Linked DNA regions of Ovis aries. The protein of the gene in region 1 purifies or fractionates together with the protein of each later gene. This does not show direct contact. Links are inferred from orthologs where the notes say so. Each region holds a gene or a part of one and is shown in the gene's direction. Other genes may lie near its edges.

Region 1 (4,192 bases):
TGATGGGACGTCCTCTTTTATCCACAGCATAATTCAATTTGAACTTTTTGTCATGAAACATTGCTCGAAATCTCTTGTCAATTTTGACTTTTCGATCCTTTTCTGGCATTTCCCAAAATCTTGGGTCCTTTGCAACCCGCCTAAACCGTTGGTCACTCATGATTTCTTGTTTAGATGCCATTTTTAAATGTGTAACTGGACAAATGCCTGAAGAAATCAAATACTAAAAAATAAAATCATAATGAAAGGTCAGTAACAGAATTAAGTAAGATGCTATGGGAAAATATTAATTCACAATACTATATTCTAAGCTACATTAAGTAAAATAAGAGGTCTAATTTCATTTCCCGAACAAATCTTGAGTCACATGCAGAAAAGAAAAACTATCAGAAAATCTTCTTTTGAGTACAGCATTTGAAGAAATAAACTTAACGCAAAACCAAGCAGAATTCCAGGTCTTTATGGAGGGAGGCAAGTGATTACTAGCCAACTGCCCTCACTTAGATATCCCATATTTCTACTTTATATGTGTATGTGTTACAAGTAAAAGCTAATATGATTAAAATATCCTTAAGTCTCAGTCTTATTTGTTTTTTCACATTCTGGTCCCATTCTCTCCGTTAATCCTGACTTCATTTTATTCAGAACAGCCTTTACTTCGACCAGGCTGTTAACAGAACCAAATGAATTCAGGTTTAGTTCACAAAGTTCCCCCTCTTTGTATATGACCACCCTTCGTGAACCAGGTAAAGCCTTTCTCTTAGTTAACAAATACAAAGTAGCAGTGTTTTGTTCCAAAAGCAAGGCTTGACTATGACGCACCATTAAACATTTGACCCTCAGAACAGCCTTGTGGGGTAAACAATATTTCATTCAACTATCAGAGGTAAAGCGTATAGATGTTTAGAACGAAACCACTTGATCTACGGCAAATATTCGGAGACAGCAAGGCGACCAGACCTCATCTCGGTCGCCCGCCCTCATCTCCGGCGCCCACCTGCCCCTCCTACCCACCCGGTAACGCCGAGAACACCAGGGAACTAGGACCTACCTTCCCAGCTCCCAAACCTGAGAGACGCTTTGGGGCTCAAGCCCCTCAACACGATCTGGAGGAGCAAAGAAGCTTGAGGAGAGGGGTCGTAAAGGCAAGGAGGAAAAGCGCGGGGCTCGTAAACCCGGAGAATCTGTCGTACACTGGCTCTGTCCCTCTTCTCCTGGAGCCCCACTCCACTCACCGACTCCGAACCCTCTCACGGCGTCACATGGGGCCCCACACCCACAATCCTCTGCGAGACACGCCGCCGTGATGGCACGCGAACTGGGCCAAACTGCCTCCGCTTTCCCTCCGCGAAGTGCTCCGGCGTCCTCGCCGTAGCCTTGGCGCATGCGCTCGATAACCGAGCCGGCTAGGGGTGTAGGCGCTGGAGATGCCTCTGCTCACCCCGCTTCGGTTCTCGTGGCGGCGGCTGCCGGCGGCCGGGGTCCCCGTGAAGAACCTCGGCCTCAGGACGGTGGCCTCTGGAGCCTCTTCCCCGAGTGGTGCCTCGCCCAAAGCCTTCAACATCTTCGATCGGGATTTGAAGAGGAAGCAAAAGAACTGGGCGGCCCGGCAGCCGGAGCCGATGAAGTTCGACTACTTGAAGGAGGAGGTGAGTCTGCGAGACGGCGCGGAGGGTGGCTCAGCGCCTTGACTTCGGGTCCCGGAGCTCCGGCCAGGACCTGAACGCCCCCACCTCGCCGTGTGACCTTGAGAGGCCGCCCTGCCTGTCTGGGCCTCTGCTGTAACCGCGCAGGGGCCGGGCGCCGGTGTTTGCAAGGTGCGATTCATTCATTCATTCATGTCCTCGGCAGATAGTATTAATACTTGAGTTACAGGTGTACCTGGGGCAAAGCAAGACCGCTGCCCTCAAGAGATTTCATTCTTGTGAGAGACGAGACAGTGAACCGGAAACGTAATTTCAGTTAATGAAGTAAAGCCAGGTAGTGAAGTAAAGAAGTAAAGCGACTTCGCTGGTTGGGGGCACACGACGAGGCAAGAAATTAATCAAGCTGGGATCTGGGAGATGTCGGGGGAAAGCTTTGCAGGTAATGGGGAAGACGAACCCAGAGGCCCTTAATCCCAAAGGGCCTTGTCAAGGCCTCCAGGAAAGCTCCAGTGGGAGGTAAGGGAGTGTCCAGGTCAGGAGGGCCTTAATGGGTAAGAACTTTGGATTTTCTTCTCTATCTCAGCTGTACATTCCATGTGGTAATTTCTGGCCACATGCAGCTTTTGAGCACTTGAAATGGCCCTTTGAGATGTGCTGCTGCTGCTGCTGCTGCTGCTGCTGCTAAGTCGCTTCAGTAGTGTCCGACTTTGTGCGATCCTATAGACGGCAGCCCATCAGGCTCCACCGTCCCTGGGATTCTCCAGGCAAGAACACTGGAGTGGGTTGCCATTTCCTTCTGCAATGCATGAAAGTGAAAAGTGAAAGTGAAGTTGCTCAGTCGTGTCCGACTCTTAGCGACCTGATGGACTGCAGCCTACCAGGCTCCTCCGTCCAGTAAGTGTAAAATACAGTGGGTTTCAGTGAATTAATATGGAAAAAGGATGTAAAATATTTCCTTAATATATTTTTATATTAATTACACATTGAAACTCTTGATATTTTGGGTGAAAATCAACTTCTTTACTCTTTTTAAAATGGCCACTAGAAAATCTTTGGAGAAGGGCATAGCAATCCACTTGCCTGGAGAAATCCATGAACAGAGGAGCCTGGTGAGCTACAGTCCATGGGGTCACAAAGAATCGGACACAACTGAGTGACTAACACTTTCAGCACTTTCACTGGAAAATCTTAAGTTGCTCATGTGGCTCTGATTGTTTTTCTCTTGGCCAACATAGCTCTAGAGTTTAGAGGAATGGGAGGCTGTTGAATGGTTTTCAGCAATGAAGTGATGGAATCTGATTCATCTTTTATGAATTAAGATCTCTGATTTATCTGTGCTGGTTTGAGAGACCTCTTCCTCTTTACTCAGGTGAGCTAGGAACTTGAGCCAGTTTCTACTCTCTGAACAGGCAGCACAGAGCTCAGGCCTATGTAAGTGCTTCTTCAGGGATAGACCAAAATTGAAATCAAGTGTGATGAGCCCTTTGAAGCCATTGCAGCCAACACTTACTGAGCTCTTGTTTTGGACAGAACTTTGTGCAGGTCCTGGTCAAATCGGATGACTGACTCTGTTCTCAGGGTGACACATATAAATATTCAGAAGATGTGAGTTTCCAGACCCTCTCTTCCAGGAAAGGCACCTGGATTACAACTTGACTGAGGCCTCACCATTGTTTAGGACTAGAATAAATGAGATAAAGTATACGAGAGTCTTTTAAAATAATAAACAAAAGGTATTCATATCAGTAATGATGCACAAAGTGGACTCCTCTGGAAAAGACTTCTGCTGTCCCTTCTCCCTTACCCTTCCTCCCTACCTCACCTCCCAAAGAAAATACACATATATTCTGTTCTGAACTTTCAAGTCCCTGTAGAAACTGTGATGTTTACCAGGGAATGAGTGGAATGTGGGGAATATTAGTCTCCCACATCTTTATTCCTGCTGCATGAAGCTAGCTGAGCAAAAGGAGGCACCTGCCTTATGACCTCTTTTAAATTGGATTGAGATTGAGGAGGTTTCGTTAAATGTGGCTGATTTCTAATTTGCAGATGTTGCTCAGAAAAGTTATTTATTCATTTAGGAGTTCCACAAAATTTGTTAATAGTTAACAAATAATTAGTTGTATTAAATTATCACTTATACATTGATCTGTAATAATCCTCAGCTAACTAATTTTTCACTTTCACGCACCTCACACTAATGTCTGTGGATGATATGCTTGTTATGTTTCTGTTGCTTTTTTTTTTTTAAGTTAGGGTATCCTGTTGCTTTTTGTCTTTGCACTCTTGCAGCACATGAAATATAAAGTCATAGATATACAGAATTTAGTCTTCTTTCCTTGAATTGACTTCTGAGGTAATTAACTCAATGTGTTTCCTTGGTTATTTTTATTTATATGTTCCTATTCAGAATTCCTATTCAAAATTTGGGGCTTCCCTGGTGGCTCAAATGGTAAAGCGTCTGCCTGCATTGCGGGAGACCTGGGTTCAATCCCTGGGTCGGGAAAATCCCCTGGAGAGGAAAGTGGCAACCCACTTCAGTACTC
Region 2 (3,769 bases), on another chromosome or scaffold:
CGAAACCTCTGCTCAAAGAGAACTGACCTGTCTTTCAGCAGCATGAGGGTGAACCCGTCACCCCCCTCACCCCTGCCGCCTGCCTGTGGAAGCTCACAGTGCCAGAATTCACTGTTCATTCTGGCCTATTTCTGGTGACAGACTCCAGACCTTTTCTTGACCCTGGACTTTTGGACTGGTTCAGGCTCACTTCAGGAGCATTTTCTACAATTGGGAACCCAGACCTCCTACAACTTAGGAGAGTCTTTCTCAAGGACCTGAAGGCCACTCCTTGAAATGTAACCACCAGGAGGGACAGGGTCTGTCCCCCAGTTCCTACCGCACGATGGGATCTTAGCTTCTGTAACCACCAGTTATCAGCACAGCAGCCGTATCCCACCGAAACCGCCCAAACGCCTGCCATTTTTCACTTGAACTCCACCCTTCTGTCCTGTCCTGAAAACGCCCAGTCCTCTCCGCACAATTTGAACTGGAATTCAGGGCTTCCCCCACTGCCTGGACCACTTAATAAAAGGTTTTCTGCCGCTCTTCGAATCAGCGTCTGGTTATCTCGGCCAGAGTTCGGGGGATCACTGTTTCTTTTTCTGTAAAGCTACTTTAAGCTGGGTAAGAAAACAGAAAAACTTGGGATTTTGTTCAAGGGGGTCACTCTTCCCCGTGGACCTGACACAGGGATGGCCTGACTTGCCGCCCCCCAAGGCTGTGGGGTCCCCCAGCCTCGGGAGGGGCCGAAGGGTAGGATTTGAGATGAGGAGTGTTCTAGGATGTTGAAGCGGCCGGAAAACAGGGAAAGAGGCGAGAGGAGAGGTGGGAGGGGACGGAGGGGGACGAAGGGGACGCCAAGCCTGCCAGCATCCGGAGGGCACGGGGCGCGGGGATCCCGCGGGGGCAGTGCGCAGCCAGGGAGGCGGTCGGCCTGGGCTGGGGGTGAGGCCAGGAGGCGGCGCGTGGTGGGACCAGGGCCGCCAGCACTCACTCACCCGGTGCAGAAAGCTCAGGCGGTCCCGCAGCGGCGGCGTGGCCGCCATGGTGCCGGCCACCTTCCGGCCCCGCCCCGCTTCCGCCAGGCCCGGGCCCCCGCCAATCAGTGCGTGAGCCTGACCCCGCGGGCCAATTACCCGAGTGAGGAGGGCCTTGCGGCCGACTTCGGGAAACAGTTTGCGCGTGAACCAATACAAAGTCCAAGGACAGCGACCGACAACGAGCCAACTGCAGGGCTCTGGGAGACTGAGAGCGGTTCCGGAGAGGCTAAGGCGAGGGCTAAGCCTGACCAAGTGACAAAGCGCAAGAAAGATTGTGGGCGGAAGTGCCTGCCGGTTAAGCTGTTGGGCGCCGGAAGAGGCCGGACCTAAGATGGCGGCGCCCACAGGTGCCGGGAGGAGCCGCTCATGTCGGGGAACGGAGCTGTGTGGGGTCGCGTGCGAAGCCGCCTCCGCGCCTTTCCCGAGTGTCTAGCTGCCTGTGGGGCCGAGGTGCGGAGTCGTCAGGCGGGGCAGGAAGGGCCGCGCGAGGCGGGGTGCAGGTTGGCGGGGGGCGGCTAGTGGTGACCCGGGAGCGGCGGCGGCGGGGTCCGCCCGGGTAATGAGCGGGCGCGGGGACCGTGGCGACCCTCGCCCATCTCCGTCCGCCCCCAGGCCGCGGCCTACGGCAGGTGCGTGCAGGCGTCCACGGCCCCGGGCGGCTGCTTGAAGAAGGATCTGTGCGCGCAGGAGTTCGAGGCTTTGCGGAGCTGCTTCGCTGCTGCGGTAAGTGAACGCCAGCCTCGCCCGGGGGTGGGACCCTAGGGGGCGGGGACCCACGTTACCTGTTTGGGAAACGGGCTTCCTTTTCTTCTGGGTTCGATGTTGGGCTCCAACAGGTGCTTCACGGGGGCACAGCCCCACACCAGCCGGCGCGACCCCCGCCGCCACGGAGGCTGCCTGTAATGAGGCTAGCACAAGGTTTTGAGCTGGTGCCCAAGATGTCAAGGTCCTGGGTTCCCTCGACTCGGTGGGTCTGGGGTGGGCCACGATGCCCACAGTCAGTTCTGTTCACCAGAGCTGCTTGTGCTGAGTACTGGACCTGGCAGGGGACAGTTGGGTCAGCTCACTAGAATTTAGGGAATCCAAGGAATCTCTATGATCCAGGATGGAGAATGCATGGGCCATACTTCATTTCCCAGAGGGCTCAAAGAACCCCTTGCACCTTCCTAGCAATCATTGTGGCTGGGATATGCGGCTCGCCCTTGTCACCAATCTCCAATATGACATGTTTCATCCAAGATGCACGTGTCGCTTGGACTTGCTTCCTGGCTCTTGGCAGCTTCCTTGCTTTACTCAGAGCACTCCCTCCGGGAAGTACAAACCTTCATCCTGTGGTCAGTGGTTGGAAGGATTCACATGTAAAATAAAGATCACACACTCCTGGCCAAACCAGGCTTTTCCCTACCGCCTGTGGTTATTAGTCAGGATCACAGGTATCCTGTGAATCCTCTCTGGAAGGAATCCTCTCTGATTCCTTACGCTTCTTTGCCCCTGTCATGTTGTCTTGCCCCCGGGAGCGTGTGGCTGCCTCTCCTGCTGTTTTCCATTGAGGGCAACCTAACCACAGGCCCCAGGCACTGGAAGTTCAGAACAGGGAACCTGGGGGTTTCTCATTTAAAGACACAAGCCATTTTGTCTACTCTGCCTGCACCCTGAGGCTCTGTGGGGGTGCATGAGGAGGCAGGAGGGGAGCCTGTGTTTCAGCATCTCTGGCTTAGAGATTCCTTTATAGAAGGGGGAGGACTAAACGGGACTCGTTGGTGGCACAATGCCTGGCAGGGTGGGAGAGGCCACAGAGCAGGTTGAGCCCAGCCCCAGGCTCCCCAGTGCCCCAACCAGCCTGGCCCCATGCTGCACACTCGTGGCCAAGCTCTTTGTCATTTGTTTGCCAGGAGGTGGCTTCTGGGATGGTAGTTTTCTTAACTTTGAAACCATGTCTAACTTGTCTAACCATGTCTAACTAAAGCAACCCATTCAGACACAGCCCTTTGTCTTCCAGGCCAAGAAGACCCTGACAGGAGGCCGTTAGGAAGGACTACAAGCTCCAACGCACGTCCCTGGGTGCCTGGCACTGATGGCCTCAAGGGGCAAGCGTCTAAAACCTTAAAAGCTCTTGGGGCTAAAAGGACTGGAAACACATTAGGCATGCATGAGCAGGAGAATGGGTTTTCCAGCCTTGCACACCTAAGGATTTGGGGAGAATAAGATACAGTGAACCCACAATAAAGATCAGATCAGACACTGTAAGATTTGTTTTGTCATCTGCGGAATGAGTGCATGGGCTGTGAACAAGCTGCCTTGCGAGTTTCGTTCTTTAAAGAGTTCTCACCAAGGCACGTCATCTGAGTGGCGAAGCATCCAGAAGTAACTACCAGGTCACAGCACAGACCAAAGAAAGAACAGTGACACCGTGAGGGAAAAGTCCGAGCTGTAGGAACCTGGTACTGATGGGGTTTTTTCTGACTTAGAAAAAAAAAGGTGGGGGTTGCTCTTCAGACAAAAGGGTGAAGAACCCAGGGAAGGTCTGGTTTTAGGAACCCAGTGCCTGTGAGACTTGCTCCATGGGGTTGCCCCACCCTCCCTTCCGCAGCCTCTGGAGTCTGAGCCCAGGTCCATCCTGGCCAGGCTCCTGCTCACTCTGGTCCCACCCCTCATCCTGATTCGGTAAGGCCGCAGCAGCACACGTGCTGGAGCTCCAGGGAGACCCAGTGGGACCCAGGAAGATTTCAGCATCCTGAGTGCTGCCT

What was found. The genes of interacting proteins can lie anywhere in the genome.
Region 2: the proteins of NDUFAF5 (region 1) and NDUFAF8 purify together in Homo sapiens (affinity purification with mass spectrometry; 3 studies listed by BioGRID and IntAct, counting the BioPlex papers as one, with this or other methods). This does not show direct contact. The link is inferred for Ovis aries from reciprocal best matches to the Homo sapiens genes NDUFAF5 and NDUFAF8.

What each region holds. Positions count from the first base shown.
Region 1 is NC_056066.1:7,200,027-7,204,218, forward strand, and holds the start of NDUFAF5 (arginine-hydroxylase NDUFAF5, mitochondrial), read left to right. Parts: upstream 1-1,392; 5' UTR 1,393-1,427; coding exon 1,428-1,649; intron 1,650-4,192. Other genes in the region: ESF1 homolog, read right to left, coding at 1-181. UniProt on the Homo sapiens protein: Arginine hydroxylase that mediates hydroxylation of 'Arg-111' of NDUFS7 and is involved in the assembly of mitochondrial NADH:ubiquinone oxidoreductase complex (complex I, MT-ND1) at early stages. May also have methyltransferase activity.
Region 2 is NC_056064.1:50,975,413-50,979,181, reverse strand, and holds NDUFAF8 (NADH dehydrogenase [ubiquinone] 1 alpha subcomplex assembly factor 8), read left to right. Parts: upstream 1-1,350; 5' UTR 1,351-1,388; coding exon 1,389-1,472; intron 1,473-1,634; coding exon 1,635-1,745; intron 1,746-1,858; coding exon 1,859-1,989; intron 1,990-3,021; coding exon 3,022-3,037; coding exon of another isoform or gene 3,038-3,051; 3' UTR 3,052-3,269; downstream 3,270-3,769. Other genes in the region: AP-4 complex accessory subunit tepsin, read right to left, coding at 981-1,028. UniProt on the Homo sapiens protein: Involved in the assembly of mitochondrial NADH:ubiquinone oxidoreductase complex (complex I, MT-ND1). Required to stabilize NDUFAF5.